Linked DNA regions of Drosophila melanogaster. The protein of the gene in region 4 interacts with the protein of the main gene of each other region in a pairwise test. Each region holds a gene or a part of one and is shown on either strand. Other genes may lie near its edges.

Region 1 (6,866 bases), on a different chromosome or scaffold from region 4:
AATTCGGTTTGTGCGCGAGTCCTGCACCTGGGACACCATGACGGACCGATGACCAGGTCAACTCGGTGCGCCATGCAGAAGGGGGGAGTGTGTAGTAATTGTTGTTCGTCTCACCTGACTCACCTGCTTCGTCGTCGCAGCAGACGGTGCAGCTGCAGTTGGTCGCGTGCGGCGTGAGCGTACCCTCATCGATGAGGGACTGCAGCGATTTGCCGCCGTACTTGATCGAACGCTTCCAATCCTTGCTGGAGCCCCGGCCACACACATGCTCAAACTCACTGGGCGTATGCCACTTGTCCTTGTACTTCACACAGCGTCCACGGCCGCCGGAGCCCAGCTTGCTGCGGTATAACTCGGCGCAGGTGGTTTTGCAGCGGATCTGGAAGACCTCATTGTGCTGGGTTGACGGGTTCTCCGACCATCCCGAGGAGCCACCACCCGTTCCGCCGCCGCCACCGCCGACGCCACTCGCTCCGCCCGCGGCGTGCTCCAAGGTGGCCAGGCTGTCGTGGCTATTGTTGCTCCCGGAGCCATCGTGATTCAGTCCAATCGTATTTGTGGCGGTCGTATTGGTGCCCGCATTATTGGCGCCGCCACCGCCGCCGCCTGGTTGCGTCTGCTGTTGCTGGATGACGATCGTCTTGAGGTCGTTGCCCATGCTGACCGTGCTGCCGGACAGGTAGCCATTGTTGTCGACGCACAGCATCGGCTTGAAGTGAGGGGGCAGCTGGTCGGGCGTGATCACATTGAAGGTAGTGCCGGTTATCATCGAACCGATGGGCAGGGATACGGGCACCGAAACCACACCGCCACCGCCGTTTCCTCCGCCCGCTCCGCTTGTACCGCCACTGGCGCCGCCGCTACCACTGTTGTCGTTGGAGGAGGATGTGACCATGCGAACCTTGGTGTCCAACTGCATTACCATAGCGCACATATTCCCACGTTCGTCACATGTATGTGGGTGAGTGTCCAGCGGCCAATTGATGGCGTTTGCGATTTAATTCAATGCGATTTGCACAGGAATCGGGAATGAAAATTCGAATGTAAGTAAACAACACAGCATGGGAAAAATGAAAATCGGTATACACAACATTTGTGCGCCACAAATGCGGTGGGTGGAGGGGGAAAACGAGGAGGAGGAGGCAAATTGGGAGTGGATGGAGGCGAGAAGGCGAGCGGGGAATGCCTGTGGCCCAGTGGGTCGCACGGAGCGTTCCGTAGGGCGCAAGTTGCGCCACCCCCAGGCCACCTAGCCCAACCACCCACCACCCACTTTCCACAACTGCGCAGAGCGAAGCGGAGCGGTTTTCGAGCCAGATTCGGTTTCGGATTCAATAGATAGAACCTGAACCAAACACACAGTCCGGAACCAAAACCACCCCGCCAAAGGAGAAGCGAATGGAAAATCCAAAACCAAATGGGCTCCTTACGCAGCCGTTTGTTGCTCCTTTTTCTTACCTGGTGGTGATGATGATGATGGTGATGGCTGGAGCTTTCTAATATCACCTCTTCTTTCACAACATCCTCGGCCAGCGCGGCCAGATCTTTCCTATTCAGGTGCAGCTCGGTGGAGGAGTCAACCTGTTCCATAGTATTGTTATGCCAGTTCACTTTCACTTATTCTGCGGTCCAACGATAGTAATGCACTTGAATTGTTCATCGGATTACCACTTGCAATTGGATTATTGCGATATATGTATATTATTCGACGTCTACCGAGACGACGGACGGTCTGTTGTTGTTGTTGTTGTTGCTGCCGCCGCGATCCGCGTTTTTTTCAGCGCTCACCACGACTTACATGCGAATTGCGCGCAGGTCGCGTTCAAGTTGCATTGCCCTATTTACAGCTGGTGGTTCATTGCAATTTACATTTTTTAAGCTTAAACTTTACTAATTTACTAAAAAAGTTGATATCCTCCTCTTCTTCCTCATGATAACTAGAGTTGTCATGCGCGTTGCAGCTATCGCCCGCTATCGGCACTATCGATAGTCGTGATTCGTGCTCGCTATCTGTGCCCCATCTCTGGTTTTTAAATATCGGAAAGTTTACAGCTATATATCTTGCATATTAAATTAAGATTTCTGAGAATTACAATTTTAAAGATTTCCTTATGACTTGATCTTAAAACTCAAAATCACACCGAATTTGGTTTTACCATTATTACTCTAAACATTTTCGCTTGTTTATTAATAGGATATATTGATGTTATGAAAACAAGAACGATTTATTACTTTCAAGGAAAAGTTTTAAATTCATGAGAAGAATAAACTATGCTGCTTGTGTTGGAACTACACAGTGTTTCATCTCTAACATACATTTCGATATATCCAATTGGACAGCTAGTTCAGAAAACGGTCACTCTAGCAATATAATGGTAACTATCTGATGATCCAAAATAATAATAAATAGTAAAACTGAATGCTTACAGGCCGATGTGGATGTGTTTATAAGTAATTATACAATCATCGATCCAGAAATTTACCAGCTATGGATCGAAGGCTTCTCCTGTAAGTTTTCTTCTCCCAATTGCAATCTTGTTTCATGTCAAACGGCTCCATCGATTTACAATTATAGCCAGCGAGGCGGTGTCCTATCTGAAACAGAAGGGTTTTGGTCACTCCATGGGCGCTCCCAGCGACCTGATTGCATCGGATGTACTGGATCATTACCGCACCTATTCCCTGATTGAACTATACCTAAACGCACCCACCAAACTGATGGAGCAATCCTGCTTCCAGCTGGAGCCACAAATGCGTGACCTTATCACCGAGAAGTACTATTCCATCGATGATGTGGTGGCTCGCGAAATTCTTGGCAAGAAGCTGTCGTCCCGCTACCGCAAGGACCTCGACGAGGTGGCCGAGAAGACGTGCGTCAAGCTAAAATCAGTTCGGTGGGTAAATTTGGCCGCTACTTAGGCAGAGTAGAGTCTAATATATTTCAACTTCTTCTTCAGCCGACAATTTGACAACGTAAAACGCATTTTTAAGGCAGTCGAGGAAATGCCGGGCACGTTAACCAACAACATCAAGCAACACTTCATCATATCCACCGATCTAGCCAAGTATGAATATAATCAATGTATTGAACTTCAAAAAGCTAAACCTTTCACTCTTACAGAAAGTACGCCTGCATTGTTTTCCTGGCCTGCCTGCGTTTCGAAACCACCAAAAAAAAGTTGCAATACCTGAGCTTCAGTGATTTGTTGACCTGCTCCCATGCCATCATGATCTACTGGACGTATACTTACCAGGTATGACTTAGCTCTGCTAATTCCTTACGAAACTAATTTACTAAATGCAGCACACTGGACCGGAGTACTATGATACCGAAATGGACAAAGAGTTTCTCTTGGACCTGCGGGAGTTGCGCTGTCTACTCGACAAGGAAAAGGAGATTAAGCAGTGAGATTTATTTTTCTACCGCACACGAGCTATTATATAGTTTAGTCCTTGCATTTAGCCTCGTCTGCATGCGCCTCAAACCCGTTCTTCTCGAGCGCGCCTTTCACGAACTGGATGGCAACTTTCGGTAAGGACTTATTTCTCGACATTATCACCTTTTCTTACTATTGATCTGTTTTGATTTGCAGTTCTTACTGGCGCGCCCTGATCACCATCGCCTGCAATTTGCATCGCAATCGGGAGCTGCGCGATCTTTTCGTCGATCTCTGTGAGAAGCTTATTGATCCTTGGCGTCAGAATGGCTGGAACCGTGAGCAAGTGAATAAATTTTTGGCTTCCATAACGCAAAGCGTTTTGGATCTGGAAATATCAAGGTGGGTACTTTTGTCTAGATTAATCAAGTAACTTTTTTGATAATCAACTCTAAATGTTTTGCAGGGACCAAGAAACCAGATGTCTTTGGGATCGCTATATGCAGGTCATAACGATATGCTTGGATAAAATGTATCACATTTAAGATGTGATTAAACTAAGGATCAAATATAAATAGTATTTAATTGTTTGTTTGTGTTTGTTTCGACTTGTGTTGATTTTTACTCAGATTGTCTAGCCAAAGTAAAATAATGAAAATTGATTCATATGAGTTTCATATTTAAATATTTAAATACCGTTGTTAATTGGCGCCAAATGGTATTTTTAAGCGAAAAGCTTGTTTCCCTTGGTATTCTTCCGAAAGTTGCTGGTATATTTTGCAGCCACGTTCACACTGCAGCTTCGAAGCTGAAGATGCAGGAAAAGCTTGCAACAAATTGTCGGCCTGCACAAACTTCCGTTTTAAATGTTATTATTGGGACGTTGATGCTAGTCGATGTTAGTAAACAAACAAAAGGGAGGTCTTCGTCGGAAAGGGCTTAATTTTTCATAAGCAAACGTCACCGATTGGCGATGGAAGTTCAGGAGTTCTGGTGAGTTTCACTGGAAAAGTGCATTGCAAATTACATACACATTGCATAAAAACGAGCTGTAAGTGTGTGCGTTAAGCACCCACACGAACGCACAATCGCGAAAACGAGCACACACACGCTCATACAAGTTGGCCAGGTGTGCGTGTGGGTGTGAAGGGAAGAGGAAGCAACAGTTGACGCCCGTTACACGGGAAATCCACACTGGTTGATTAAATATCGGGGTTGTTTTCTAATTCACCATTTGTTGTTTTCGATTTAGCGAAAATATGGAGGAGATCGAAGATGAAAACTACGACGAGGAGAAGTCAGCTAGAACCTCGGATGAAAATCGCAAGTACGGAAAACATTATTCAGGCTTAACTAATTCCATATCCATTTATTCGACTTCAAGACTAATAATGATTATTTCGGAAAAGTTAATTGGTCTTTTCAATCAGATTCCTGCATCCATATGCATTTATAATTTTAACGTTATATCATTTATTTTAATTAGGCAAAATCACAGCGAGATCGAGAAGCGGCGTCGGGACAAGATGAACACGTACATCAACGAGCTCTCCTCCATGATTCCCATGTGCTTTGCGATGCAGCGAAAGCTGGACAAACTGACTGTGCTCCGGATGGCAGTGCAGCATCTGCGAGGGATCCGTGGCAGCGGCAGCTTACATCCATTCAACGGATCCGATTACCGGCCTAGCTTCCTGTCCGACCAGGAGCTCAAGATGATTATCCTGCAAGCGTCGGAGGGATTCCTGTTCGTGGTGGGTTGTGACCGAGGACGCATCCTGTACGTTTCCGATTCGGTGTCCAGTGTGCTGAACAGCACCCAAGCGGACCTGCTGGGACAGAGCTGGTTCGACGTCCTGCATCCGAAGGACATAGGCAAGGTTAAGGAGCAGCTATCCTCACTGGAACAGTGTCCCAGGGAAAGGCTTATCGATGCGAAGAGTAAGTGGCCATGCGAAAGTGTGAGATTCAGTACGTCACTTAAGTTTTCTCCTTGCGTTATCACCTGCAGCCATGTTGCCCGTTAAGACCGACGTTCCACAGAGCTTGTGCCGCCTGTGTCCGGGTGCCCGGCGCTCCTTCTTCTGCCGCATGAAGCTGCGCACTGCCAGCAACAACCAGATCAAGGAGGAGTCCGATACGTCCTCCAGCTCCCGGAGCTCCACGAAGCGCAAGTCCAGACTGACTACGGGCCACAAGTACCGGGTTATCCAGTGCACGGGCTACCTCAAGTCCTGGACACCCATCAAGGACGAGGACCAGGACGCCGACAGCGACGAGCAAACAACGAATCTATCCTGCCTTGTGGCAATTGGTCGCATTCCGCCCAACGTTCGCAACTCCACAGTACCCGCCTCGCTGGACAATCACCCGAACATACGGCACGTGCTCTTCATCTCGCGCCACTCCGGCGAGGGCAAGTTCCTGTTCATAGACCAGCGGTAGGTACGATTATGGGCATTAATTTTCTGATGATTCGACTTAAATTATTTGGCAGTGCCACCCTCGTGATTGGTTTCCTGCCTCAGGAGATCCTCGGCACCAGCTTCTACGAGTACTTCCACAACGAAGACATCGCTGCGCTGATGGAGTCTCACAAGATGGTGATGCAGGTGCCGGAAAAGGTGACCACTCAGGTCTACCGCTTCCGGTGCAAGGACAACAGCTACATTCAGCTGCAGAGCGAGTGGCGGGCCTTCAAGAATCCCTGGACGAGCGAGATTGACTATATAATCGCCAAGAATTCCGTGTTCTTATAAGGCATACGAACGTTCCGATGGGGAACATTACTTTTATTTATTCCACTACAATCCGACATTTGTATACACTCCAAAGATCTTCATCCGCATCGAGTTGCTGGCGCCGGCGTTTGAAATTCCATATTCGATATACAAACTTTACCTAATGATAAGCCCATCATTTTTGTACCGCCTCAATTAAATTAACTAACAACTTGAAAAGAGATTCGCTTAGATAAGAACATTTGCTATCGTGGGAACAATCTAGTTTTACCCCATCAAGGTTTCAACATAGCTCTCTGGCGATTGGAATTGTCGAGAAGAGCGGTCGCCTTCGATTACAAACAACAAATAGTTCTTAGCCGAGCACGTTTTGGACGTGATCGCTGCTCGAATTTCTTCGGGCACATAACTACTTGTGGTAAATGGTGTGGATCATGTGTACATATGTACATATGTACGGACATGTGTGTGTTTGATTTATCAACTGAGACGGGCTTTTTCGCCCGTTTTTCGTTTCACTCAACTTTTTTGCTTGCACTATCAATAGACCCACATGAAAAGGCGGCAGCCCAGGCGCGTGGGTTTGTCTGGGTCTGGGTATAGGTCTGGCATGGGTATGGGTATGGGCATGCCTCTGGCTCTCTCGCTCGCTGGATTCGGGTTCGGAATCAGTTGGCATAGAGCTGGCGTGGCATACGGACGCTCTGACACCTTGGCTTCCCAACCAGTGAACGTTTTATTGGACAAA
Region 2 (7,508 bases), on a different chromosome or scaffold from region 4:
TCACATTTCGTGATTGCCGGAGCAAAAATAAGTTATATTAAGCCAATAATATCGCTTTGCTTCATAGAAAAAAACGACAAAGAGAAATTTATCATGGCCATTTTATATTACTTTTCCAGTTAAGCAACTTCTTGTGTGCATAGATTTTATTTTGTTCTATTTACGTAGTCTAAAGAATATTATATTATTATATTTAAATTAGTATTAGTAAATGTTGTTTGTTTTATGCAACCAATTCAGAATTGATTTAAGGGATTACTACTAAAAACTTTTTGTTTTGGTGTCTCTTGATTGAGCAATCTGTGCAAAAGGTAAAACTTTAATTTATTATTTTAAGGAGCTTAACACAATTTTTTATTTCAAGCAACATCTTTAGAAAGTGTGATATTTCTTTCACATGATTTCCCTTTGACGAAAACATATCATATCTCCATGCTCCAATTTCATCAGTAATAAAATTTGACAAATTTGTCAAATCTATCTAATGTGTCTATTTAGGGCTGCCACCACAATCAGCATAGTTATGCCATAAAAAATAGGAGCTGCCTAGACGGTGCATCCATTAATACACCCATATGTTTATATAGATCGTAAAATCTTGATAAGGAGAAGACCCCATAAGCATAAATTCGTCAGGAGAAAGCATTTCGCAAGCCGACGACTCATCCCAGACAGCTTAGCATAAAATTTCGAAATCAGAACCCGCCAGCAAACGAGTTTTTCAGTCGCAGCCAAGAACTGAATGGCGTATTAATTGTGTAATCTATAAAAATCCATTTACATATGCATGGGCGAGATTGGCAGCTGCCAACGAGCCCCGCGGGAGATATGAAGATGGTCTCCAAATTGGGTTAGTTGGCTTAGTGTCGGCATGAGTTAGGGCCACCAACATGGCCATAGCTTTGGAAATGATCTGGGGCTCGGGACAATGCCATTACAAATCAATTTGGCTAAGACTGTGGCTAACCGTTCTGTGAACCAATAAAAACTAATCCAACGAGCTGGTCAAAAAGACAAAGGCATCACCGTCGAGCTGTTGACCACTGATTTCGCGATTCGGATGAGTTTCAGTTTCCCTTCGACCGGGAACGGTAACGGACGCATTCGAAATACTATATAGTAAGCCCGACGAACATATTGTATACAGCAATGCAGTGGCAATTGTTTACTGCCCTAGTGCTTTTTGTAGCATGGAGTTGTCCTTCGCAAGGAGTAAGGATATCCGCAAACGAGATGGAGCGACGCTTGCCGCAAAAGCAGGCAAAGATTGGGTGAGCAAACGTTGACGACTAACAATGAAGTTTTGATTTTCGACAGATATGACATTTATATAACCACTTTTTGGTATTTTCTGAACCTTATTTAATCCAATAATTCATAGTAGATTATTATTGCATATTATAGATATCACATAAACAATTCAAACAACTATATGCTTATATAGGATACATTTTTTTATAAAACAATTATATTTGAGTTGAAAAAAGTATAACTATGACATTTTAAAGTTAAACTTTGAACGAAATTTTTATTCTAGCTCCAGAAACTATCCCATCGAGTATGTCCTGTTGCCGAGTGCTCGTGGTGGATACAGAAGGCGCTATATTCATAGTCTGGGAAAAGCAGCTCCTACAACAACTGAACGCCCGTTGGTTCGTGTTTGGAATAGCTTCGTCCGCAGTGTTCAGCCCGCTTTCAGTTTCCGTAACCTGACCAATCCGTTGGCCAACTTCTTTAACGATGGCAGTACGAACATCATCGAGACGTCGCCGGTTTATCTGCAGTCCTACGATGAAGATCAGGAGCTGCAGCTTGAGGAACCAGCTCAAGTGGCCTCACAGGCTACCAAAAAACGCAAGCGAAAGCGCCGCAAGCAACAAAAGCGCCGACCGAGCTACGACTCGGCGGAGAACGATGATGCCTACAGCCCTTACGATCCCTACTTTGTGCCACCTTCTCCGCCGCGGTCCGCCGAGCCGATGTTCTTCTACGACACCAATTCCGGTAGCTACTACGGAGTACAGCGCTTCAGTCCTCAGGATTTCCAATCTAATTTTTACGGCAGCTTTTTATTCCGCCGCCTAGGGAGGCAGAGGATGTGGAAGGCGAGCATGAGGAAGAGGCGCCCGTAATGAGAAGACTCGGAACCAGAAAGGTGACCCTACTTCGACCACTGCCCCTATTGTCGGCCAAGGGCCAATCATTGACGAAGCTATTAGAAGTCAGCAAACCGGAGCATCCCATTGAGAATGAAGATGCAGCAGAGGAAACAGACAGCAGCGCACCGAGCGATGCACCGACTAGCGATGACGACGATGGTGATGTCGAAGCCCATTCACCGCTCTCCGAGAGCATGCGCAATACTCTTGGCACGTATATGCGCGACGATAGCCACACCCGCCAGCGCCAGAGACTCGCTAGCGATGCAGCAGGGGCTAACGATTCCGCCGCCAAAGTTTCGCCACGCCATCATCAACGACACCTTGCCCGGCTGAGCTCCTGGTAATCCATGCTAAGCTATAAACTATAAACTCTTTACTTATGGATGATCGTGTATTTATCGTATGTTACGTGCGAGTTAGGATGGGGAATGCATGATAATGAGGTGGCAGCTGTAAAATAGATTAGATATTCAAATAATTTTACTAGTTTCGCCTTAAAGATAGTGAGATAGACATCGAACTTACTATACTAGAAAACACAAGTAATTTGCTAGATCTGGGGCTATTGGACACGATCAGACGAGCCGCGTTAGACGCGAAGCGCTGCCGGCATTGGGATCTACAGGCAGGGCTACATGGTCAACATGCTGCACATTGCGGAAGTAAGCGTGCTGCAGTGCGTCCTTGGCTGAGATGCGCAGGTTGGGATCATAGCACAGCATTGACTGTAAGGTACAGAGTAGTGGATTTCCATTGGGGATGTACATTTTCTGCACTCACCATTATGAGTTCGTGCGCCTCGTGTTCGGTTATGGGTTGTGGCATGTTAGTTCCCTCCCATCTAGGGAACTTGGTCTTAAAGTCTGGCAGCTGCGTCACACCAGGCCAATTTGTTTCATCAGGTGTGCTTAAGGTACGGAAAATCCTATAAAGTTGATCGATCTCGCTGTCTCCAGGAAACAAGGAGCGGCGCATAATCTGTAATTCTAGGTTTAGTAATCAGATCCGCTTGGAATGTACATTCCATATAACACTACCATTTCAGAGAAAATGCAGCCTAGACTCCAGATGTCCACGCCCGTGGAGTAGAATTTCGTGCCCAACAGAATCTCTGGAGCTCGGTACCAGAGGGTGACGACTTCGTGTGTGTACGCCCGCATAGGCACGTTGAAGGCCCTTGCTAGGCCAAAGTCAGCCAACTGGAGTTGGAATTCGTTATTATCACAGAACCAACAGCGGGTAAAACCTTTAGTCTCACCTTTATTTTGCCCGCCGTGTCTACGAGAAGGTTCTGGGGCTTGAGATCGCGATGCAGGATACGATTCGTGTGGCAAAAGCCGACGGCATCTAATATCTGATGCATATAGCTCTGCAAAGTGGCAATGTGAAAATATTTTAATGGGCTGCAAACTAGTGTACTTACCTTTATCAACTGAGGGGTGAACACGTCTTTTTTCTTATCCATCAGCTTCTTTAGATCCATGTTCAGGTACTCGAATATCATGTACAGATTGTTGCCGGAAATGACTACGTCAAATAGTTGGACCACATTTGGGTGCTTAAGGTTCTTCAGCAGGGAGATCTCTCGAATGGCCGTCGAAGGAACACCCTCCGTTTCGCTGTGAATCGGAATTATGCTATTAAATAAAGCTAAATACTGGCAATCGTGATTACCCGTTTGCTAGCAAAAACCGATGATATCCTGTACCACGAAGCCGAATCATGTGGTGCTACGGATTACGGAAACGGCGCAGCTCCCACATAATTCGGGCTGCGGGGTGCAGGTGGATGACATTCGTCAAGGATAATATGTCCATATGTCACATAATATTTCCTATGGTTGCCATGAACAGCATCACAGTCCTGCTCCACCTGGATTACGCACCCTTCTAGCCGAATCTTTTTGAGGGCCACATCCTGGCCGGTGGAGTTGCTACGCGCTTTGTAAACTATACCGTAGGTGCCCTCGCCAATCTTTTCGGCGCGTTGAAAGTTATCTAGAATGGTGGTCATAACCTCGTAAACAATCCTTGAGATCGATGTTGGCAAAATAAACTAATATTTTGGAGGGAAATTCTTCTTCTTTGGTGATGCTAGCCATTCTCATGCAACCGCCGATAAGTCGCACAGCAGCGCCACATATCGATAAGAATTCCTTAATCGATTGTTCTGCGATGTGACAGCTCTAAGGTTGACTACCCCTATTTTAAATGTATTGTTTTCTTCTTTGCACAAAACTTTTAAAATAAAAAATAAAATTAACCGTTGAGACCCGTTAATGCCTATCACAGTTGGATCAAGACATTTAAAATTGATAAATAAAGTTAAAGCAAAAATCGTATTTATGCAGTTTCTTAATGGTTTCTAAATTTACTCTTTTAACTAATTAAATATATGTTTTTAATGAAATGTGACGTTCGTTTAATACGTTGATTCTCGCCTCTATCCAATTAATGTAGGGTGCGATGTACATGAAAAGATCTGCTCCTGAAAAAACCGAATCAAATTTGGCCAAGAGCTGCCGGATAATATAGTACTGTCTCGGTTCCCCATTTACTAGGCGAACTCCTGCCAGGATAGCGTCTGGATGCAAAGGAGCTCCGCGGATGGTCCTTCCAAAGACACTAGAATAAGGGTCTTTGGTCCTTCCATCCACGCAGAGAGCTGGCGCTAGGCCACGACGCGGATTGAGCAGTACGACGGTGCAGCGATAGCAGGTGGTAAATTGATTTCCATCCCTGAAGAGTATACGTCCCAGCCAAGGATGCTCATCCTGTTCCGCGAATGTTTTGTCGTTGTAAAGCTGATTTTCCAACGGTCTTCCACAGCGCTGAACTTCAGTGATTATACCAGTGGCTTATAAGTATAAATAAAGAAAATTGGTAGATAAGCATAATAAAGTAATTGGGTTACATCACTTACGCATAACCAGTATAACCAGTAGAACCTCGCTTACTGTCATCTCGCTCACAACAAAGTATTTTCCGATCGAGGAAATCACAATGATTTTGCACACTGAGAACAATAACCTCTTGCAGATAAAGTGTGAAGGTGTTTCTTATTGTCGCAATGCAATCTACTTTTCCAACAGGTATTTAGTTAAGTATGTACATACAATATGTGTGAAGAGGACTCTTTAACTTTGAATGAAACTTTGTTCTGAATTTAATGATTAGTAAATGCCATTTATCTACTATTTTCAATCATTTTTACATTTCTTCCGGACACTTAGTTATAGACTAAGATGGTTCCCAATCCAATTATTGGTATCTTGTGGTTTCTTTCGTACTGGCCGTGCGTTGATATTCACAAAAGATGCCAAGCTTCAGATCCATCTACAATTTTCATCCCAAATAGAGCTGCACCAGTTAGGAAATCTTTATCCTGGTGTACGCACGCACTCGTGACTCTGGCCAGGGTATGAAGGCTTTTCGGATGCTTATCCACCAGCGTACTGACCACATTGAATAGTCGGGCGATCACGTCATGGGAATCTGTATCCTCCGATACAGACAAACAGGATCTCAGTTGGGAGTTCAGTTTAAGGACGGCAACATCGTAAGACGGAACGATACTCTGGGTGAATAAAAAAGGCGACTTCTGTTTCCAAACATAAAGCTGTAGGCATCGCCCTTATCCAGGAATATAACACAGTGAGCAGGCACAAGGACATGGTTACGGCCACTCCGGAGCAGGGATACCACACCCAACCAGCTGACCTGGTGTACCTAATCCTGCCCAGCCAGTTGAATTGCTCTCGACTATCTTCTCGGTTTACTGGTCTTGCACTCGATCATTTTCTTGAACTGCTGGCCAGAGGAGAAGGGTCTTTGAGAATAAAGGCGGGGATCAGCGAGATTTAAATGCAATGCCTACTTCCTAGAGTCATTAACGATAATGTGACCAAAATAGCAGCCAATTTGAATGAGAGCATATCGCCATGCATTCCGTTTAGCATTGTGGTATGTTAAAATGTTGGGCTACAACTGAGTTAATTCCGGAGTGCGAGATTTGCCATGTAATTGCGGACCCTTATCGTTTAAAAAGACATTCCGTGCATTTTATGTGCGTTGCATTTAAAATTGTAATTGTAATTGCTTGTGGCAGGCGCACGCAATTCGCTTACACTCCACTCCATCTTGTCTCAATTTGTGTTTTACGTGTTGCAATAAAAAAAGTGCCATAAAAATCCGTATTTTAATTTGCTTTCGCCTCTGCGTTTATTTTTCGCGTGCTTAGGCTCTAGCTGTGAATGTTTTTGGCGCGCACATTTATGGCACATTAATCATTCCGGGCCACGGGCCGTATGCTTGATGACGACCTCACCGAATCCTTCAGCCACTTCGATCGGTACTCATGTCGCTCCGATATCGAAAATTAGACATGATTCATTGGCACTGTAAACCTTGCAGCCGAGTGCTTCGATTACGAGTACTTCGCATTTCATTTCAATGAATTTATGACTGCAGCTTCTCCAGAATTACCATATTCCATGGCTGCCACTCGATAAGGTTGCTCTACTGCACCGGTTGAGATGAAAGCAAGTGGCTTGAGAACATAAATTATTTGCAGTTGATGTGTACTTAAGGCTTTTGGCGCCAGCCAAGTGTCGAAAAACTGCATTTCCCCAAAAAACAGAAGGAGTGCGCGCTTGCCTAATGGCAAAAGTTTGGGGCCAATGTGAATTGAATTCCGTGCGGAGGACAACCCAATAGCGAGGACTACCCACTGTGTTTTGGGGCTTCGCGTGATTTATGCATTTGGGTTTGGGTCAGGAGTCGGCAACTTTGCGCAAATAACCCGAAAGCGCTCTCAATTTTTAGCAACAGCAACTAAACGCGGCCAAATGGATAACCACGAATTTGGCAAAAGACTTTGCTTCCTTATTTATAAACCCACCTGTCAAAAGTCACAGCTTGGTTGCCAAAAATTAAAAATCTTTTTACTAATGAGAAAAGTTGGAAACTCTTCTTTACCTAGAGACTTTTTAATTAATTAATATCTAAACTTGAGTTGTAACTTGAGTCAATTTTAGATCCTCTAGCGGATGCACATTAAAAAACTTATTCTGTCTTTTTAGTTTTCAAATATTTAGAAAAATAGTAAAAGCTTTAGGTACAATATATTTAAAAAGCTTTAGGATTTTGATGTAAAACGATATGCTATTTTATCTTAACTTTGAGGAATTCTTCGAAATCCAATCTAGATGGGGTCGAATGTTTAAGTACCCTTGGTGATCTAGGTCAGACGAGAAGAATCCAGCAACCGCAATTCCCAACAGATGAAATTGGCGTGGAGTACCCGAAGCCTCGGTCAAAGCTGATCCTGAAAGAGGACTCCTCTCGG
Region 3 (8,248 bases), on a different chromosome or scaffold from region 4:
ATAGATTTCATAGATTTTAATTTATTAATTTATTTGACAAAAATTGATCTTTTATTTTTTCAATTATTTATTTTGCTTCAATGTTTTTTAGGTGATTCACTGTCTAAAAGACAAGTTCCGCCAATCTGCGCTGGACGAACCATGTGCGAAGGAGATGATCAAGATCCTGCAGGAGCAGGCTCTCAACTACAAGTTAAACCCCCTGCTGCAGGTGTTCTGCAAGTCGGAGATCCAGGAACTGTGCAAGGCAAATGTGGATTCCGACGAGCACGGCCAGCTGGCGGAGTGCTTGAAGACGGCCTTCCTGCAGAAGCAGATCATCAACCGGCAGTGCCAGATGGAGGTGGCCACTCTGATCGCCGAAGCCAAGGCAGACATTCACGTTGATCCCATTCTTGAAACGGCGTGCACGGTCGATCTGCTGAGATACTGTTCCAAAGTGGCAGCTGGCAATGGACGCAGTGAGTTAAAATAATATACGACATATTAGTTAGTTCCCCATTGAACAGAAAGTTGATAGTTATTCTTAGCATCCAAGGGCGTCGCCAGGCCAAAGACACTAGAATAACAAGATGCGTAACGGCCATACATTGGTTTGGCACTATGCAGCCACTTTTTTGGTGACGGCCAAAATTACTCTCTTTCGGCTCACTCCCGCTGAGAGCGTAAGAAATCTAAAAATATAATTTGCTTGCTTGTGTGAGTAAAAACAAGAGACGAGAACGCGTATAAGTGTGCGTGTTGTGCTAGAAGACGATTTTCGGGCCGAAATCAATTCTGATCGAAGAAACGAATTTACATTGTACATATTAGGGTAGTTTTTGCCAATTTCCTAGCAATATGATAAAATAAAAAAAATTTAAAAAATTCGCGCCCTGACTATTATAATTTTAAAGCTTTTTAAATTTGTTTGTTAAAATCGCCGCTCGAATTAGCTACCGTTTACACATTTATATTTATGTTTAATTCTAATTTGTCTCTCATCTGAAAATTTTTTAAAAGCGAAATATTTTTTTTGAAACACTTTTAATGTTAATGTTACATCATATTAAGTCAAATGATTTAATAAATATACTAAATAATTAAATATGCAATTAAATTAAATTGCAAAAGTAATATCAAAGACAATAGAATTATTCTAGTGTCTTTGCTTTGTTCATATCTTGAGGCACGAAGTGCGGACACAAGCACTCAACAATCATTGCCTTATTAATTTTTCACACGCCGCAAGATGAATACTCTAATGACAAATATTCTTATATAAAGTCATTTTTGAAATATATTTTTGTGATAATATGTACATAGATTTGACTATTTCTAATCTATTTTCAAATAATAATAACGTTAAGGCAATGCAAAACAAGAATTTTTCGCATGGTGCCAATTGATCAAAAATAATATAGATTTAAAGCCAAAGAACTTCTAAGGTGAAGGGCATATTTTGTCAAATTTACAATGCATGTGAATTCGTGTGCACACATACAGATGTCTGCTATCACTTTGTGCGTTGAAAAGAGCTGTTCGCTGTAGCGCTCTTCGCTCTCTCGCTCTCTAACAAAAATTCGAGAGAGCCTGGAGCCACCTCTAGAGCCACGGCCAAAAAATCGTGTGCCAAAAAATCGTATGGCGTTACGCATCTTGTTATTCTAGGGTCTTTGACTCAACAATCATTGCCTTATTAATTTTTCACACGCCGCAAGATGAATACTCTAATGACAAATATTCTTATATAAAGTCATTTTTGAAATTTATTTTTGTGATAATATGTACATAGATTTGACTATTTCTAATCTATTTTCAAATAATAATAACGTTAAGGCAATGCAAAACAAGAATTTTTCGCATGGTGCCAATTGATCAAAAATAATATAGATTTAAAGCCAAAGAACTTCTAAGGTGAAGGGCATATTTTGTCAAATTTACAATGCATGAGCATACGTGTGCACACATAAAGTTGTCTGCTATCACTGTATGCGTAGAAAAGAGCGGTTCGCTGTAGCGCTCTTCGCTCTCTCGCTCTCTAACAAAAATTCGAGAGAGCCTGGAGCCACCTCTAGAGCCACGGCCAAAAAATCGTGTGCCAAAAAATCGTATGGCGTTACGCATCTTGTTATTCTAGGGTCTTTGGCCAGGCCATCAGCCAGGGGGGGCAGATAGTAGAATTCCTCTTCCTACACTGGAAACTCTTAGTGAAAGCACCTATCAAACAGCTTATGTATTTGAAGCAGATCGATATAATTGGAGGCAGATTGACTAAGAGAATAAGAACAGTACATAGTGTAAATAAACAACGGGAAGTTACGTGATAGGCAGCAAATTATGAAATTTCTTGAACATTCCTTTTTGGTGCAGGGGGGTGTGTGTGTGTGTGTGTGTGTGTGTGTGTGTGTGTGTGTGTGTGTGTGTGTGTGTGTGTGTGTGTGTGTGTGTGTGTGTGTGTGTGTGTGTGTGTGTGTGTGTGTGTGTGTGTGTGTGGTTGGTGTGGTTATAAATATAATAATTAATGTTTTTCTCTCTATGTTCTAGAACTTAATTGCTTAAGGACGCTGCTGAAGGATACGCCGAACTCGTTAGAGGCGGACTGCCGAGAAAAGCTGCAGCGACGCATAGAGATGTTCAGGAACGCAGACGACACGTTGGCGCTTCCGCCCGAGGATGTGCAGCAGCTAGTGCAACAAGTCGTCGCCTCTCCGGCGCGGAAATTCTTCCTTGTGATACTAATGAGCGCCACGGGCCTGGTCTTCCTCACCGGCATCTTCCTGGGACGGGCCACCAAACGGGCAATGGGCTTAAAGAATAAATAATTGAAATATTAGACTGTAGTGGCACTGTGTAGGCGGAGTGTGCATGTTTGTGAGCTTGCTGATTTCCATTTCGGCCCATCCATGACCCCATTCCGAAACCCAGAAGTATACTTTCACTCAACCCTGTCTGCCTTTCGATATTTGTGTGAGCAATTTGTGGCTTAGTCGTTTGTAAGACCAAAAAATACGCGAGAAAGGAGAACACAATCAAATATACTAGTTCCATTCTTAGGGCTCTTTTCGTTATAGCTTTTTTGTAACAATTTCACTTGTATATTAAATTGTATTTTTGTAAACAAAAGCCCCTTCTTTTTAACTATATCCACATGGAAGGCATCAACAGATGTTTCTCTTTGGATCAATACCAGAGCGCTAATACGGCAGAGCGCCTAGTTTTGAGTACAAAAGTTAAGTAAAAACTTGGGATAGGCTTATCAATTTAATCAAATAGCCAAGGTAACTCAAAGTATAAAATTTAATATTATGTCCTTGTGGGCTTATGAGAATTAAAATTTGTGTTAATTGATTAAGCTTGACTCTAATTTGTACCCTAGACACGCCTTTGTTATTATTGATATTAGTAATTCTATTATTATCCTTTGTTTTACGTTAAAAATTACAATTTCAACGAACTGTAGCTCTACAGGTGTTTTGGTATATTTGCACAATGAGCTGCCTTTTTTTAGTATATGGGACCGGATGGTATGTTGAAAGAGCCCAACTGCGGTCACACTGCTCGCAAGTGAATTGGAACAAGGAGATTTTATTGCGTTAGAAAAGGTTCAAAATAGGCACAAAGTGCCTGAAAATATCGTAACTGACCGGAAGTAACATAACTTTAACCAAGTGCCTCGAAAAATAGATGTTTTTAAAAGCTCAAGAATGGTGATAACAGACGTCCAATAAGAATTTTCAAAGAGCCAAGTAAGCAAGACCAATTCATTCACATCACAGGCACCCACACAGATGCAGCCAAAACAGGTTCTATTAAAATAGCTCTGGCTACGTTAGCTACAGCTGCGTCCAAAATAGTAGCACTTTTGTTGGCAGCAGCAACGGTGTTTTATATTGCGTAAAATTCAATGATTTATTTTTTGAAAACATCAATATAATATATTATAATACATTTATTATTATTATTATTATTATCTACTATATAAATATATTTTGTGATAGAATTAACCACCTCATACCTCTCTTTTCGGCTCGTAATTCCTTTATTCTAGACACACTCCATATTTATCTCTTCTCTACTTTATATTGCAAGTAAAATTTAAATTACATATGTGAAGATGTTTGGGTTTCAGTTATTTATACAGCCGACGACTATTTTTTAGCCGCCTGCTGTGGCGACAATGGACGGCGTTAAGGTTGAGACGTTCATCAAAAGCGAAGGTGAGTCCAATCACCCGAGCCATGCCACCTTGGAGCCCATTCTAACGCGACTGTTGCCATTGCCCTCTGACCTTGCAGAAAACCGAGCGATGCCCTTGATCGGAGGAGGCAGTGCCTCAGGCGGCACTCCTCTGCCAGGAGGCGGCGTGGGAATGGGAGCCGGAGCATCCGCAACGTTGAGCGTGGAGCTGTGTTTGGTGTGCGGGGACCGCGCCTCCGGGCGGCACTACGGAGCCATAAGCTGCGAAGGCTGCAAGGGATTCTTCAAGCGCTCGATCCGGAAGCAGCTGGGCTACCAGTGTCGCGGGGCTATGAACTGCGAGGTCACCAAGCACCACAGGAATCGGTGCCAGTTCTGTCGACTACAGAAGTGCCTGGCCAGCGGCATGCGAAGTGATTGTAATTTTCGTTTAAGTCGTCGTCTCAAGCTATAACCAATCTCTGGCCTGGCCAGAGTCTACGTGCTCCAGCAGGCTTTAGCAGAATTGCATTGTAGAAATTAGGAGATATCATATATGTAGCATTTAACTCTGACAAGTAATGAAACGTTATCGATTCACAGGAACTCAGTTTCCCAGAGCTTAATCAAGAACTGGTTGGATGATCTCCAATTCGAATTGGACTCAAAGATAAATAGTCTAATCTAGAGAAAGTTCAATTTCAATTGAATTCAATTCAATTTTCGTCTGTGAAGTGCATTTTACACCAAGTAATCACGTGAATCTAATTGCATCCCAGTGTTTGCTTCTGTAACGTGAATATCCACTTCAGTAACTTGCACATCTTAAAACTGCAGCGGCGGAGGCACAAAAGATTCCCAGCCTGCACGAACATTAACCAATTCACCCACTTACTCACCATCACCTCGCTTTGAAAATCATCAAACCGCATCCTCACCTCACTTCTCGCTCTAATTAATTGCCTTCCGTTCTCATCAACTTTTGTTCACAGCTGTGCAGCACGAGAGGAAACCGATTGTGGACAGGAAGGAGGGGATCATCGCTGCTGCCGGTAGCTCATCCACTTCTGGCGGCGGTAATGGCTCGTCCACCTACCTATCCGGCAAGTCCGGCTATCAGCAGGGGCGTGGCAAGGGGCACAGTGTAAAGGCCGAATCCGCGGCCACGCCTCCAGTGCACAGCGCGCCAGCAACGGCCTTCAATTTGAATGAGAATATATTCCCGATGGGTTTGAATTTCGCAGAACTAACGCAGACATTGAGTAAGTTGAACTTTGATTTACATTCTGGTTGGTCATATATACTTAACTGCCATGATTGATCCATATTTAACTTCTTTTAAACGAATTCACCATTAATAATCTCCTATTGACTTTGCAGTGTTCGCTACCCAACAGCAGCAGCAACAACAGCAACAGCATCAACAGAGTGGTAGCTATTCGCCAGATATTCCGAAGGCAGATCCCGAGGATGACGAGGACGACTCAATGGACAACAGCAGCACGCTGTGCTTGCAGTTGCTCGCCAACAGCGCCAGCAACAACAACTCGCAGCACCTGAACTTTAATGCTGGGGAAGTACCCACCGCTCTGCCTACCACCTCGACAATGGGGCTTATTCAGAGTTCGCTGGACATGCGGGTCATCCACAAGGGACTGCAGATCCTGCAGCCCATCCAAAACCAACTGGAGCGAAATGGTAATCTGAGTGTGAAGCCCGAGTGCGATTCAGAGGCGGAGGACAGTGGCACCGAGGATGCCGTAGACGCGGAGCTGGAGCACATGGAACTAGACTTTGAGTGCGGTGGGAACCGAAGCGGTGGAAGCGATTTTGCTATCAATGAGGCGGTCTTTGAACAGGATCTTCTCACCGATGTGCAGTGTGCCTTTCATGTGCAACCGCCGACTTTGGTCCACTCGTATTTAAATATTCATTATGTGTGTGAGACGGGCTCGCGAATCATTTTTCTCACCATCCATACCCTTCGAAAGGTTCCAGTTTTCGAACAATTGGAAGCCCATACACAGGTGAAACTCCTGAGAGGAGTGTGGCCAGCATTAATGGCTATAGCTTTGGCGCAGTGTCAGGGTCAGCTTTCGGTGCCCACCATTATCGGGCAGTTTATTCAAAGCACTCGCCAGCTAGCGGATATCGATAAGATCGAACCGTTGAAGATCTCGAAGATGGCAAATCTCACCAGGACCCTGCACGACTTTGTCCAGGAGCTCCAGTCACTGGATGTTACTGATATGGAGTTTGGCTTGCTGCGTCTGATCTTGCTCTTCAATCCAACGCTCTTGCAGCAGCGCAAGGAGCGGTCGTTGCGAGGCTACGTCCGCAGAGTCCAACTCTACGCTCTGTCAAGTTTGAGAAGGCAGGGTGGCATCGGCGGCGGCGAGGAGCGCTTTAATGTTCTGGTGGCTCGCCTTCTTCCGCTCAGCAGCCTGGACGCAGAGGCCATGGAGGAGCTGTTCTTCGCCAACTTGGTGGGGCAGATGCAGATGGATGCTCTTATTCCGTTCATACTGATGACCAGCAACACCAGTGGACTGTAGGCGGAATTGAGAAGAACAGGGCGCAAGCAGATTCGCTAGACTGCCCAAAAGCAAGACTGAAGATGGACCAAGTGCGGGCAATACATGTAGCAACTAGGCAAATCCCATTAATTATATATTTAATATATACAATATATAGTTTAGGATACAATATTCTAACATAAAACCATGGGTTTATTGTTGTTCACAGATAAAATGGAATCGATTTCCCAATAAAAGCGAATATGTTTTTAAACAGAATGTTTGCATCAGAACTTTGAGATGTATACATTAGATTATTACAACACAACTTTGATCAAATGTTAATCTAATTTTTATTAAAGATGTGGATCTCATCCCACAGATTGGCAGAAAGCAGAATACAAAGTCAAGAAATGGCAACGTGTAGGGAACAATTTAAAGGCGGTCGTTATATTTTTATTTTTTGTATAAAAATAATTTGATTGTTTACTAAAGTAGATAGACGAACTGCAGCTAAATATGCATCCAGTCTTTACAACTTAATCTAAGCTAGAGCGAGGGATTACTGTTCCTCTTCGGGTACCTTTCTGGCGGGCTTGTGCTTCTCGTAAGCCTCATCGTTGAGTCCCTCCCGATTCCGGGCAATCTCGATGGCCAGAAACTGGACGCGAAACACGAAGATAGAGTTGTCCGGGGAGAATTCCCTGCTGGCATCGGCGCGCATCAGGGTGCCATACGAGTAATCGTCCAACTTGTTAAACTTCTCGGCGAACTGGCGCCACTTGAGCTTCGCCGTGGCGGATTTGAGAATATCATCGGTAAGCCGGCCAACGTGAAGATCGGGAAAATCCTGCCGGAAAGTGGCGTATATCTGGTCGTCGTAGGGCGTGAGCTTCAGCTGGGAGGGATGGACGCTGGTGATGAGCTGCCGGGAATACGATGAAGCAGTGTCAACTACCATTCCTTAACATCGTTCAAAGTGTACTCACATTAAAGTGCACCTCGGCGTGTTCCAGAGCTTTTGCGGCCCACATTTCCTCCACCAGGGTGTCGTTGCCAAATTCCTCCGCTGGCCGCGACAGCAGCGACGCTCCATGCTAACAAGTCCATTAATCAGAATCGGTTAATTTCTTTTAGCCACTACATACCATCATCTCCATTTTATTTGGACAAGGTTGCTTATTTACTTTAAAAATTATTGAAACGAAAAATCACGTTTCGTACTTTGTTTAGCGCAGTGTGACCAGCCGCAAGTCGGGATGAATAACGTACAATGTCGTACAAATACCGAAGACAATATTGAATTCAAAATTAAATAAATAAATTTAAGTAATTGATATGCATTGTTGTACCAAACAGTCGAAAATTAATTTGGAATAAAATTGTTTCAAATCAAATATCTTAAAACATCAAAAAAAAAAAGAAATTTCTTTAAAATAAATAAGTTGAAATTCTAATAGCTTTTTTAAGATTTCAAGAAATTAAAAAGAAACCGAAAGAAACAGAGTCCTTTTACAATCTTATTCGCTTTGATTTTAGTGTCCGATATTTCTTTATTTTCCACACGAGGCCCG
Region 4 (8,258 bases):
ATGTCCGAGGTTGTGAAAGCCATCTTTATCCTGGCCACCAGTGCAGGGCACACCACCAAGCTGCTGTCCATAAAGGCGAACAATGTGCAGATGGAGGAGCTCTTTAGGAGATTGGATAACGAAGAGTTCCGTCCTAGAGGCGCCAACGAAGAGTTGATCTTTGCAGCAGCCTGTGAAAGAAGTAGGAAGCTTCGGGACTTCTATGGAGCGCTTTCGTTTGCCGCCTTGAGCATGATTCTCATACCCCAGTTCGCCTTGGACTGGTCCCACCTTCCGCTCAAAACATACAATCCGCTTGGCGAGAATACCGGCTCACCTGCTTATTGGCTCCTCTACTGCTATCAGTGTCTGGCCTTGTCCGTATCCTGCATCACCAACATAGGATTCGACTCACTCTGCTCCTCACTGTTCATCTTCCTCAAGTGCCAGCTGGACATTCTGGCCGTGCGACTGGACAAGATCGGTCGGTTAATCACTACTTCTGGTGGCACTGTGGAACAGCAACTTAAGGAAAATATCCGCTATCACATGACCATCGTTGAACTGTCGAAAACCGTGGAGCGTCTACTTTGCAAGCCGATTTCGGTGCAGATCTTCTGCTCGGTTTTGGTGCTGACTGCCAATTTCTATGCCATTGCTGTGGTGAGCTGTGAATTCGCAACAAGAAGACTATCATAAATGCTTTCTAGAAAAACAATGGTCTTAATTTGTTTTCCCTATATACATAATTGTAGTTATCTGACGAGAGGCTGGAGCTCTTTAAGTATGTGACCTATCAGGCGTGCATGTTGATTCAGATTTTTATATTGTGCTACTATGCCGGGTGGGTATTCCATATCCGAAATGCCTCCCCAGGCCAGTAATGAATTTCATCGTCAGTGAGGTAACCCAGCGCAGCCTGGACCTTCCGCACGAGCTGTACAAGACCTCCTGGGTGGACTGGGACTACAGGAGCCGAAGGATTGCGCTCCTCTTTATGCAACGCCTTCACTCGACCTTGAGGATTAGGACACTTAATCCAAGTCTTGGTTTTGACTTAATGCTCTTCAGCTCGGTGAGTTCTTTCCGTGTTTTGACTTTTTTGTGCACTGTAGCCAATTTCCATAATGAGGCTCATTAGCGAATTTAAGTTCGTGGCCTATAAAAGGCTTTCCTCGTGCGGTTCATGATGGAAAAGTGAAAATTGTCAGCATGTCTCAGCATCAGATGGTTACGGAGGACTTTTATAAGTACCAGGTGTGGTACTTCCAAATCCTTGGTGTTTGGCAGCTCCCCACTTGGGCCGCAGACCACCAGCGTCGTTTTCAGTCCATGAGGTTTGGCTTCATCCTGGTCATCCTGTTCATCATGCTGCTGCTTTTCTCCTTCGAAATGTTGAACAACATTTCCCAAGTTAGGGAGATCCTAAAGGTATTCTTCATGTTCGCCACGGAAATATCCTGCATGGCCAAATTATTGCATTTGAAGTTGAAGAGCCGCAAACTCGCTGGCTTGGTTGATGCGATGTTGTCCCCAGAGTTCGGCGTTAAAAGTGAACAGGAAATGCAGATGCTGGAATTGGATAGAGTGGCGGTTGTCCGCATGAGGAACTCCTACGGCATCATGTCCCTGGGCGCGGCTTCCCTGATCCTTATAGTTCCCTGTTTCGACAACTTTGGCGAGCTACCACTGGCCATGTTGGAGGTATGCAGCATCGAGGGATGGATCTGCTATTGGTCGCAGTACCTTTTCCACTCGATTTGCCTGCTGCCCACTTGTGTGCTGAATATAACCTACGACTCGGTGGCCTACTCGTTGCTCTGTTTCTTGAAGGTTCAGCTACAAATGCTGGTCCTGCGATTAGAAAAGTTGGGTCCTGTGATCGAACCCCAGGATAATGAGAAAATCGCAATGGAACTGCGTGAGTGTGCCGCCTACTACAACAGGATTGTTCGTTTCAAGGACCTGGTGGAGCTGTTCATAAAGGGGCCAGGATCTGTGCAGCTCATGTGTTCTGTTCTGGTGCTGGTGTCCAACCTGTACGACATGTCCACCATGTCCATTGCAAACGGCGATGCCATCTTTATGCTCAAGACCTGTATCTATCAGCTGGTGATGCTCTGGCAGATCTTCATCATTTGCTACGCCTCCAACGAGGTAACTGTCCAGAGCTCTAGGTTGTGTCACAGCATCTACAGCTCCCAATGGACGGGATGGAACAGGGCAAACCGCCGGATTGTCCTTCTCATGATGCAGCGCTTTAATTCCCCGATGCTCCTGAGCACCTTTAACCCCACCTTTGCTTTCAGCTTGGAGGCCTTTGGTTCTGTAGGGCAGCAGAAATTCCTTTATATATCATTTATTACTGGTTATGCTCTTCTCCTTTCAGATCGTCAACTGCTCCTACAGCTACTTCGCACTGCTGAAGCGCGTCAACAGTTAAATTTCGAAACACCGCAGCACCTAAAGATTTTCAAGCCGATTTTTAAAAGCACTCAAAACGTTATGCACGTACATTAAATGAAATTATTGTGTAGAAATTAGCAGTTGCTTATTATATAGTTCGAAAAACTAATTGTGTCTTCTTTCCTTGGGGTTTCCTAAATCTTTTATTTACTTTTTATGCCTATTTATTTTCACACTATTTTCAAATCGTGGTAACGGTTTTAGAAATCTGCGCAAGACAGTCACACTGCGGAAAATACCAGACAGCTGCTGGTACGGAAAGGTAACACTAAAAAACAAACCAGAAATGCCATAACGCCTACAATTTGCTGACGGACAAAGATTAAGATGTCGGAAAACGCGAAAAACAATAGCTGCCTGCATTGCAGCGTATTCAGTACGAAATACCAGTACCAGGAGATCTTCGATGAGTTTGGAATCGAACTGGGACTGCAGTCCCTGCTGTCCAGGCATTACCAGCTCGAAGTGTCGCCCGATCCGCAGAAGCAGCAACTCCTGTGCGAAGTGTGTGTCACCAATCTCATTCGCCTCTTTGACATCGATGAACTGGAAAGAGAACGGGAAGCTGCGAAGGATGCGGCCCAGGGCAAAGATTCCAAGGCAGAGGAGGACCCCATTATTATTACCGAGGTCCAGGCAACTCCACCAGCTGCGAAACCAGCCAAGAAAACAGTGCCTTCAAGGCCCCTGACTAAGGTTCTGCGACCAGTGCCCATTATTCCCACCCGGGAACCGAGTGCCCGGATAAGGAATAGAGCGGCTGCTGCTTCCAATGTAACGCCTGATACATCTAGATCTCCAGAGCCACCAGAGACGCCTTCCACCGAAGATGCTGTTTCCAAAAGTGAGCCAAAACTGGTTTCTAAAGTAGCAGATCAGGAACATTTTAGTGTGCTTATACAAAATATTCTGGACGAAGAGGAAGCTGTTGTTGAGGATGAGACCGCAGTGAAAGAGGAGTCCAGTGAAGCTGTCCAGGTCACAGAGGAAACAGAAGCCCCTGGCCAAATAGTCATCCTAAACAGCGAGGCTGTGACAGACACCAATCCGGATGAGAATGTTTACATATACGAGCATGAGGGTTTGTTTTAATTTTACCTTTTCCGTCCATTAAGTAACACTTAAATTGTTCTAGATGTTATGGATCCAAATTTGGACAATGTTAAGGTAAAACCCATAAGTTGTTCGTCTAGATTGGTAGCTCAAGCTGAGGAAAGTCAAAGCGATGATGACATCGACGAGGGAGAGACTAGCAATGTTGTTCTGTTTAACTTTGTGGACATCAAAGAGAGTGGGTATAATATCAAAAACTAAAAGGCAATCACAATTCTACATATCTTTACATTTACAGAGGATGAAGTTGATAATATTCCGGAGTACTTGGCCACCGTGGTGAAGACGAGCTTTGAAAAGCTGACATTTCAGTGGTGCACTGTGTGCAAGCACTGCTCTCTGAAATGTCCCACATTCGAGAGCCTTTTTAGTCACTTGTCAAAGGCACACAAAAGCCGGAGAGATGTCTACGAGTGTCCCATCGAAGGATGCAACAAGGAGTTGAAAGGTCGCAAATTCCTAGCCATGCATCTTGTTTTGTTGCACGCGCCAGTGGCTGAGTAATTATATTTACTAAAGGAAATATTTGTGTAATATATATGATGCTTGTATTACCTAGAATTCCGATCTACGGCAGCTGTCCGGAATGTAAATTGACGTTCTCCAACATTCTGCAGTACAACAAGCATTCTTGCGCGCATGTAATAAAAAAGAAGCGAGGTTTTCGCTCTTATTGTGAAATGTGTTCGCTGGAGTTTCCTTCCTGGAAGCGGTATGTTTATTCTCTCTAAAGTTAACCAAACCAATACTAATAATACTTATATTTCTTTACAGTTTTAATTTCCACAGCCAGTTTCACTTAGAAAAGCACAGACCAAGAGCTTGCTTCGTCTGTGACTATGCCACCACGAACATAGATGAACTTTTTCAGCATTTAAATTATTCTCATGAGCCAGTGGGCACCTTATTCTGCGACCTGTTAGTATTACAAATGCTTGTTAAGACATTTATATTAATTATTTATCCCCTAGTTGCGACCGCACTTTCCGGGACCCCTCCGTTTTTATGGAGCACAATAAGTCGCATGCCAATGTTAGCAGCACGACCTACTCTTGCAGCGAATGTATGGCCAACTTTGAGTCGCGGGGCCGGCTAAATGGACACATGGTAGGGCATGAATCTAAACATCAAATCCTTCGAATACGCTTTGTGGTACAGGAAGTAATTGAAATCCTTCTTTCAGAGAGCCATGCACGGCAGTGTAATAAGCTGTGAACTTTGTTCCCGGGAATTTGCCACCGAAGCTACTTACAATATTCACATGAAGAAGCATCTGATCATCGAAAAAGATGTGCACGTGTGCAGCACCTGCGGTCTATTAAGTGATAGCCGCGAAACCCTCCTAGCCCATGTAAATTCCGTGAAGACAGCCTGTTTTGGCTCGAAGATAGACGTGGAACTCCTACGGGATGCTTATGTGTGCGAGTACTGTTCCTCGTACTTCAAGGAAAAGGACTGTCTTCAAGCCCATCGCGATTCCGGGGTACATAAAGATGGAGTGTTTTTGTGTCAGCCCTGCGGCAAAGAATTCCCACATATGAAACTTTATCGCCATCACCTGCGCAACTATCAACAACTTCGATCGGACTCAACACATCGCAGGCTAGAAATATGTGTTTACTACATGTGCGACCAGGAAGTGAGTTGTCCTGCGTTTGGTCACAGAACGTTTGATCATAACATTATTTCCTCTCCTTTCAGAACTGCACAGAGTCTTACGTGAACTGGAACTCCTTGTACACACACAAGCGGCGCACACACGAATCCGCGAGCAAGCAGGCCGAGAAGAGTTCAAAGTCTGCCCAGGAATGGGTTTGCCAGTTTTGCTTAAAGGAATGCCGGTCAAAGATGTCCTTGTCTGTTCATGTGGCAAGGAGTCATAACAATGGTAAGTATGGTGTGCTTTATAATATGTTCTTCTTTTAATAAATAATTTTATATTTAAGACAACGTCACTTGTCCGTTATGCAATTCTTCGTACAAAAGCCATGATGCTCTGGCCAAGCACCATGCCTATTGGCATGAACCAATAGAGTGTCCTGAGTGCTTTAAAATCGTCAAAAACCGACGAAATTATGACACTCATGTCAATGTGGTGCATTCGAATAAGAAGCGCTATTCCTGCAGTGTCTGTCAAAAGGGCTTTTATCACAAGAGTGAAATGGAAGCTCATCAAAAGGTCAGTGCAGTAGACGGATCCACAAACGGTTCATATTAATAGCATATTTCCTGCAGCTTCATGGGCAGTCTTACAGCTGCGAACAGTGCAGTTTCACCACCAGGAACAAAAAGTCCCTTTCTGTTCATGTTCTTGGTCAGCACTACAAGCGATTCGCGTTCGAGTGCAACGTGTGTAAAAAGAGGTTTGGACGCAGTCAAGGATTGAAGACGCACATGCAGCGAGCCCATGGTGATAAATACACGTGCCGCGACTATTTCGACGGCGGCTGTGGACGGACTTTTGTAAACAGTTCCCAGTTGAATGTGCATGTCCGAAAGATTCACGATGGCATCATTTTGCTCCAGGAGGATGTGGTTGAGGAGGACGAATACATCACCGATGATGCGCCATCCACATCTAAAAAGCGCCGCCTAAATGAAAATAATGAGTTTATAGAGGAAGCAGATGGGGATGACATAGTGATGGAAGATGATGACGAGGAGGCGGACGATTTTATTGACGAGATACCAGATGAGGACACACAGAATTAAGGCTGGTACATTTCGGTAATGTAAGATTTGCTGCTAAAACAGATTTATTTAGTTTGATTTTCATTTGTTTGCTACCAATTAATTGAACACAAATGATGTCCCAAAATGACATTAATATGCATTCCATAGTATATAATATATAATTCTAGTGATAATGTAATGGCTACTTTAGCTAATTTCAATTGCAATTAACTAGCCAGAGTCTGGCGGAAGCAAATTTGATTTATTAAGCGTTGTAGTTTGGTCATTTAATTGCTGAAGATTGTGTGCGGAGCTTACCTGAAATTGTTATTAACTTGTTTTAAAAAGATTCTTAACGAAATGAAACAAATCTTCCAAGACTTACTGGGCTAATTGGTGTTATAACAATGGCGGTGCGCGTGGCACACTGCAGCAGCGCCGTGTCCTCGGTGGACTCATCACAGTCGCCATCGGCATCCGCGTCCACATCGACTTCTACGCCAATATCACTGTCGATCTCCCAAGTGGGGAAATGATCCATTTCACCCTCACAGTTAAGATCCTCCTCCTCGAAGTCCTCGTACTCATCGATTAATATAACTAAATGGGAGATAGTTTGTGTTTAGAATAATCTAACTTTTAAATGCTTTCACAACACGTATCATATTTTTTAAAATAAGAATTCTCTAATCTGTCGATATACATTTAATTCATAGTTATAAAAAGGAAATTAAAAAAATATAGAAACAAAAAAAGCCAATATAATGATTTAACGTTTTATTTATGTTCCCATTCGCTAGGCAAGTAGTCTAAAACTTTTACGAAAATAATACTATAAATAGAATAGATCTAATTTTTAGTTACTTGAACTATCTGGCGGCGTTGGCTTTGCACTGCTGTCCAGGGAATCAGCTCCCTCATCGGGTATAGTGATCCGTTGCTCCTGCTTGCTATACGGCTCCGATGTTGATCTATGAAGGCTGCAGGTTTTCGGATGTTTATACTGGTTATATGTAAATGTAAATATTTGTTTATTTCAGAACACACCTTAACGTAACACGTTTTTTGGTTCTATTCTCTAATTCAGTCATAAAAACATCATTGTGCTGCTGCTTCTCAGACCCCAACTGATATGAGTTAAGCACGGAAGACTGTACAAAGTGGTTAAATTTGCATCACATACTTCCAATGGAATTAATTAGACTGCGGTAATACCTTTGTATTGGTCGCTGTATGCTGCACATGCGGCGGCATGGGGGTTTGTGTGGCGATCGCATCGGTTGTGGTGGTAGGCGTTTGCGTGGCTGTCAGGGATCGCAGCTCGGAGCTGTCCGGCGCCGAGGGATTCAGCAAGGGTGTGGTGGTCACCTGCTCCGGATGGACACTGAGCGCCGCGGTCCGTTTCCACACGTCGATCATCGCCAGGTTGTGGGCGTGGTGCAGGGGCTTGTGGCTAGGACTAATGGAATGTATTTTGGGCTTGGCTGGCAGCGGAAGAGCCAGGAATCTATCACGATCCTCCATGTAAGCTTTAATCAGAATGTCTAGCTTCTCTTCGATATCAGCAACCTAATATAAGTCGGGGAAAATTAATTAACTATACCATTGTTTTAATGTTTTTCTTTTTAGATTGTAGCTCACCTGCCTCTCGACTTTAACCACGCGGGAGGCTAGGCTTATTTTGGATGCATATACATCCTTGGCCTTGGACCCTTGTTTGCCTAGGATTTGATCCAAGCTGCGCACAAGTTTTGTGTTAATTAATATAGGTTAAGAAATGGGAATTCGGGTATATTTCTTACCGCAAGTGTAGCATTTTAACGCGACCCAACAAGTCGACGTGACCTAAAATATACAAATCGTATTAAGAGAAGGTGGTACTAAAGGTTTATATATATTATAAGTATTTTAACTATCCCGTTTGTAATATATTGAAAAGTTTAAAAAAGAGTATCGTAATCGAAAAACCTGAGCTTAAGTTCTTTAAGACGCCCATAACGGCGTAAATGTAATTTTGTTACTGTTAA

Evidence for each region.
Region 1: the proteins of CG18011 (region 4) and cyc interact in a two-hybrid assay, tested with the Drosophila melanogaster proteins (one large-scale study listed by BioGRID).
Region 2: the proteins of CG18011 (region 4) and Cdk2 interact in a two-hybrid assay, tested with the Drosophila melanogaster proteins (one large-scale study listed by BioGRID).
Region 3: the proteins of CG18011 (region 4) and Hr78 interact in a two-hybrid assay, tested with the Drosophila melanogaster proteins (one large-scale study listed by BioGRID).

What each region holds. Positions count from the first base shown.
Region 1 is NT_037436.4:19,813,259-19,820,124, reverse strand, and holds cyc (cycle), read left to right. Parts: upstream 1-4,186; 5' UTR 4,187-4,350; coding exon 4,351-4,370; intron 4,371-4,629; coding exon 4,630-4,704; intron 4,705-4,863; coding exon 4,864-5,318; intron 5,319-5,388; coding exon 5,389-5,818; intron 5,819-5,874; coding exon 5,875-6,136; 3' UTR 6,137-6,355; downstream 6,356-6,866. Other genes in the region: Deaf1 (deformed epidermal autoregulatory factor-1), read right to left, coding at 115-913, 1,459-1,590; fibp, read left to right, coding at 2,373-2,375, 2,430-2,508, 2,576-2,894, 2,958-3,065, 3,122-3,254, 3,305-3,405, 3,464-3,532, 3,594-3,779 and 1 more. UniProt on the Drosophila melanogaster protein: Putative transcription factor involved in the generation of biological rhythms. Activates cycling transcription of Period (PER) and Timeless (TIM) by binding to the E-box (5'-CACGTG-3') present in their promoters.
Region 2 is NT_033777.3:20,732,364-20,739,871, reverse strand, and holds Cdk2 (Cyclin-dependent kinase 2), read right to left. Parts: upstream 4,250-7,508; 5' UTR 4,176-4,249; coding exon 4,048-4,175; intron 3,950-4,047; exon of another isoform or gene 3,860-3,949; intron 3,782-3,859; coding exon 3,586-3,781; intron 3,532-3,585; coding exon 3,421-3,531; intron 3,362-3,420; coding exon 3,200-3,361; intron 3,141-3,199; coding exon 2,943-3,140; intron 2,888-2,942; coding exon 2,738-2,887; 3' UTR 2,688-2,737; exon of another isoform or gene 2,613-2,687; 3' UTR 2,507-2,612; coding exon of another isoform or gene 1,538-2,506; 3' UTR 1,458-1,537; downstream 1-1,457. Other genes in the region: CG31205 (uncharacterized protein), read right to left, coding at 7,330-7,508. UniProt on the Drosophila melanogaster protein: Like Cdk1, could play a key role in the control of the eukaryotic cell cycle.
Region 3 is NT_037436.4:21,492,771-21,501,018, reverse strand, and holds Hr78 (Hormone-receptor-like in 78), read left to right. Parts: upstream 1-3,524; 5' UTR 3,525-3,728; intron 3,729-3,835; exon of another isoform or gene 3,836-3,876; intron 3,877-3,997; exon of another isoform or gene 3,998-4,111; 5' UTR 4,112-4,159; coding exon 4,160-4,199; exon of another isoform or gene 4,200-4,277; coding exon 4,278-4,598; exon of another isoform or gene 4,599-4,626; intron 4,627-5,150; coding exon 5,151-5,420; intron 5,421-5,538; coding exon 5,539-6,713; 3' UTR 6,714-7,000; downstream 7,001-8,248. Other genes in the region: Glg1 (golgi complex-localized glycoprotein 1), read left to right, coding at 92-461, 2,527-2,804; CG7519 (uncharacterized protein), read right to left, coding at 7,237-7,599, 7,664-7,771, 7,823-7,834.
Region 4 is NT_033778.4:10,139,613-10,147,870, forward strand, and holds CG18011 (uncharacterized protein), read left to right. Parts: upstream 1-2,725; 5' UTR 2,726-2,772; coding exon 2,773-3,526; intron 3,527-3,580; coding exon 3,581-3,736; intron 3,737-3,796; coding exon 3,797-4,058; intron 4,059-4,117; coding exon 4,118-4,270; intron 4,271-4,332; coding exon 4,333-4,476; intron 4,477-4,529; coding exon 4,530-4,665; intron 4,666-4,741; coding exon 4,742-5,197; intron 5,198-5,259; coding exon 5,260-5,446; intron 5,447-5,504; coding exon 5,505-5,737; intron 5,738-5,793; coding exon 5,794-6,270; 3' UTR 6,271-6,462; coding exon of another isoform or gene 6,463-6,549; 3' UTR 6,550-6,594; downstream 6,595-8,258. Other genes in the region: Or46a (odorant receptor 46a), read left to right, coding at 1,207-2,307, 2,369-2,422; KCNQ potassium channel, read right to left, coding at 6,463-6,549, 6,617-6,831, 7,096-7,211, 7,279-7,382, 7,447-7,800, 7,873-7,969, 8,034-8,076.